Linked DNA regions of Kluyveromyces lactis. The protein of the gene in region 2 purifies or fractionates together with the protein of the main gene of each other region. This does not show direct contact. Links are inferred from orthologs where the notes say so. Each region holds a gene or a part of one and is shown on either strand. Other genes may lie near its edges.

Evidence for each region. The genes of interacting proteins can lie anywhere in the genome.
Region 1: the proteins of LSM6 (region 2) and XRN1 purify together in Saccharomyces cerevisiae (affinity purification with mass spectrometry; 5 studies listed by BioGRID). This does not show direct contact. The link is inferred for Kluyveromyces lactis from reciprocal best matches to the Saccharomyces cerevisiae genes LSM6 and XRN1.

The regions. Positions count from the first base shown.
Region 1 is NC_006042.1:2,094,035-2,096,096, forward strand, and holds the end of XRN1 (chromatin-binding exonuclease XRN1), read left to right. Parts: coding exon 1-1,562; downstream 1,563-2,062. Other genes in the region: BUD13 (Bud13p), read right to left, coding at 1,659-2,062. UniProt on the Saccharomyces cerevisiae protein: Multifunctional protein that exhibits several independent functions at different levels of the cellular processes. 5'-3' exonuclease component of the nonsense-mediated mRNA decay (NMD) which is a highly conserved mRNA degradation pathway, an RNA surveillance system whose role is to identify and rid cells of mRNA with premature termination codons and thus prevents accumulation of potentially harmful truncated proteins.
Region 2 is NC_006041.1:232,660-234,682, forward strand, and holds LSM6 (U4/U6-U5 snRNP complex subunit LSM6), read right to left. Parts: upstream 744-2,023; coding exon 501-743; downstream 1-500. Other genes in the region: GTPase-activating protein RGA2, read left to right, coding at 1,858-2,023. UniProt on the Saccharomyces cerevisiae protein: Component of LSm protein complexes, which are involved in RNA processing and may function in a chaperone-like manner. Component of the cytoplasmic LSM1-LSM7 complex which is involved in mRNA degradation by activating the decapping step.

The DNA of each region.
Region 1 (2,062 bases), on a different chromosome or scaffold from region 2:
CGTATGGTGGGGAGGCGACCGTTGATGGTTATAATAGTGAGACTAGATTAAAACTTACAGTCAAAAAGGGTTCTCTCAGAGCAGAGCCTAACATCGGAAAAGTTAGAGCGAAATTGGATTCTCAAGCCTTGAGATTCTACCCAACACAAGTGTTTTCAAAAATAGCTCGTGTCCACCCTCTCTTCTTGTCAAAAATTACTTCAAGATATTTGGTCAATGATTCTAAAAAGAAAAGCCATAACGTCGGTTTGATGATCAAATTCAAAGCAAGAAATCAAAAAGTTCTCGGTTATGCCAGATGCAGCTCAAACAAATGGGAATACTCTGACGTCGCTCTTGGTTTGTTAGAGCAGTTCAGATCTACATTCCCTGAGTTCTTTGCGAAACTTTCTAACTCGAAGGAACAAGCAATTCCATCGATCACTGATCTCTTCCCTAACAAATCTAGCGCGGAAGCTGATTCCATTTTGAAAACAGTGGCTGATTGGCTCTCAGAAGCAAGAAAACCATTCGTGGTGGTGTCTTTGGAAAGTGATTCGCTAACCAAGGCTTCGATGGCAGCTGTTGAATCTGAAATCATAAAATACGTTTCTTTACCAGATTCAAGCGAGCAGAAGAAATTAGCTAAGGTCCCACGTGAGGCAATCTTAAATGCGGAATCGTCATATGTTCTATTGCGCTCCCAAAGGTTCCACTTAGGTGATAGGGTAATGTACATTCAAGATTCAGGCAAGGTTCCACTTCACAGCAAAGGTACTGTCGTTGGCTACACTTCAATTGGCAAGAACGTCTCAATCCAAGTTCTATTTGACAATGAAATAATTGCAGGAAACAACTTTGGTGGTAGGTTGCAGACCAGACGTGGTTTGGGATTGGACTCTTCCTTCTTATTAAACTTGTCTGATAGACAATTGGTATATCATTCAAAGGCATCGAAGAGTGCTGATAAGAAACCAAAAGCAGTTCCTAATGATAAGCAAGTCGCCCTCGCAAAAAAGAAGAGAGTGGAGGAACTCAAAAAAAAGCAAGCCCATGAGTTGTTAAATCATATCAAGAAGGATAACGCGGAATCAAATACCGAATCTGGATCCGCTCCGCAAATAGCAGTTAACACTTTAAATCCTTCGGCTGCTAACAACGTGTTCAATGCCGTCTTGAACCAAATCAAACCAGGTTCTCAACAGCAAATTCAACCACCTCCAGCAAATTCTCTGCCTTACAATTTCACTGTTCCCCCACATATGGTTCCTGGTGGTATTCCTCATCCTCTTATGATGCAGCCGCCTTTCATTCCGAATAATGAGCATATTGCTTATGCAGCTCCTCCTCAGTCACAACCTGTACAAAATCCACCATTAGATAAAGAGGCATCCAGGAATCTTAAGAATCTCCTAATTAGAGATGAGAATGGACGTACAGCAAATGTGGAGAATAAAGACTCAGATGATACAAAGAGATCTTCTCATTCTCGTGGCGGTCGTCGTGGCCGTAGTAATCGTGGTCGTGGTGCCTCCGGGAGGGGTGGTCATTTCAAAAATTCTCCTAAAAAAACTGAAACCTGAATGTTGGTTTGAATGGACTATTAACAGTAAATATTATATCACTTCAGTAAATAATGCTTAGTATATAAGAATAGAGACACTTTCAGGTTCAACTTTTCAAAATTCCCGGTTTGTTGTTTGTTCCTTTATTTTTTGATCAGCGATATCGTGACTCTTAGCAAACCACTTAGTTTCAAACCCATTTGATCTATCAACTCCATCCCATCTATAACCGGGAACGATACCGAACCGATTTTCTGGAAAGTTTTTCTCGTAAAGCCTTCGACCCAACAGTGACGTATTCGTTCCTCGCAGGGTGTTTCCTTGATTCAATGGATCTTCGGTTGATAATAATGCACTTTTCTCAGTTTTGCGATCAAGTTTTGATATTTGTACTTCGCCTATATTTCGTATTTTAAGTTCTTCTTCCTTACGTACTTTCGCTGTCAAATTAGCCTTTTCTCGAAGTTTCAATTCTTCTTCGTATCCATCTATTACCTTACCTTTTTCGTCTCTATATA
Region 2 (2,023 bases):
ATTCTCAAAAAAAAACTACAACATGATATGAGGTTCGCGGTTTGTTTGATCTGAAAGCTTTCTTTATCACAGAATAAATAAGAAACTACGAAAGGAACCTCTTTGATCTCCTTTTCTCTAACGATATGACAATAAATTTTCTCTTTTAAGAATCATGATATAAAAATTTGAAAAGAGTAATGTATAACTCACTGGTACAAGGTTAATATATATTATTATTGTATTAGATATCTACATATTCTTATTATTTTAAAATAAAATCAGAATTTAAATTTATGTATGCTTTGGTGCTTTATATATGTGCATCGTAGTATTTTTTAACACTTTCCGCTTTGATAACGTTCCATCTTTATAGTATACAATTATATACTTTTGTATATAAATTATTATTAGTATTATCATATTATTGTAGTTATTGAGCTTCTGAGCAAATAGGACACTTTATAATATCGACTTACAAAAGTCATTGGTCGAAGTCAATCTTATTGCCCAATCGAAGCCTATTTTTCGCTAATGTATAACACCTGCGATCCCCTTAGAAATACTTCAGAAGGATATTTATGCAAAGTTCCGTTCTCTTCTGCCTCATAATGTTCCGACACTTGTGACATTGTGACGTTCATAAACCCATCAATTGATTCTAGCTTACCTTGATACAATATTCCTGAGAATAGCTTGACGTATACTGGTTTTCCAATGATGTTCTCCAAAAAGGAGCCAGAAGCCGTTGCCTTAGATTCCATGATGTGTTAACAATCTATGCCTTTGAAATTTGGTAGCGTCGAAATAAAGATATGAAGAAGCCTGTAGTTCTTGCATCTGAACCTACTCTCATCATTCTCCATCAGTTCAACGTTATATTAACAAAGTTCACTTTTCATTGTTCACGTTGAAGTAAAAGGGAAAGAATGTTCTAGTCACGTGATCTGTGGTAAAGTGAATTAAGTGATATGCAGTAAGTAATAAATTAATTAATTAAATGAATGGAAGGGAACAGCGCAGATTATAGTAATATATTGCTCTAGCTTGGAAACAAATGTCAAAGGTTCTTCCTGGATACATTCCGACAACAACCAGCATTCTTTGACTCCAATTTTAGCCAAAATCTTCGAACTCTAAGACCTTGAAACAAAGAAACTGAACTCCAAATCACGCCTGCACACCACATAGTTCAAACATTCTCAAACCTGGTTCCTGATTTTGTTTCAATGCATATATACATTTCGAAACCGTTGAGAGACAGCACTAATTTACCTTAGTGGCTCTCTGCAGCTGATAGATATGCTATATCAATTCAGCTAGAATATAATTGACGTGGTGTGCTGTTTACGTTTCCCTATCTAATTGACTTCCATATTTAGCACTGGTTAGGACCGATTGTACATATATATAATCAAGATTGAGACACGATTTATTTATATCAACTCGCTTCAAACGTTTCGGATTTTAACAAGATAGGGCTGCATTCACTCTCGATCAAAACATTCCTTGAGTTAATTGAACCCTCGTATCTATATTTCGATCTCAACATTCATATTGAGGGAATTTACTCCGTCCACGAGGAACAGCTTGGAATTCTTTTCCCTTATATAGTACTCTCTAACGGTGCGTGGCAAGAAAATATCATAGTATAAAGCCGCTGCTAATACATCTCTCTATTAACTTTTTTTTTTTTTTGGTGTGTCGTGCTCTTTGTGCGTGTTCTGTTATTATTATACTTTCGATTCGAAGATTAATCTTAGATTTCTTTTCAGCTTTTGATCCATTAGATCAAAAAGTTATTGATCCAGGGACAAACGAACACACTACAAGACCATCACCTCCACAGCGTGCTACATCTGCAAAACTAATTACCGTATGTCTGCCTCTCCGAAGGGGGCTGCTGAGACGTCAGTATGTGTTCGTTGTACGAACCATATTACTATGGGTCATGCGTACGAATTAGGCGGAAATAGATGGCACACCCACTGTTTCTCCTGCTACAAATGTGATAAGCCTCTAAGTTGTGACTCGGATTTCTTAG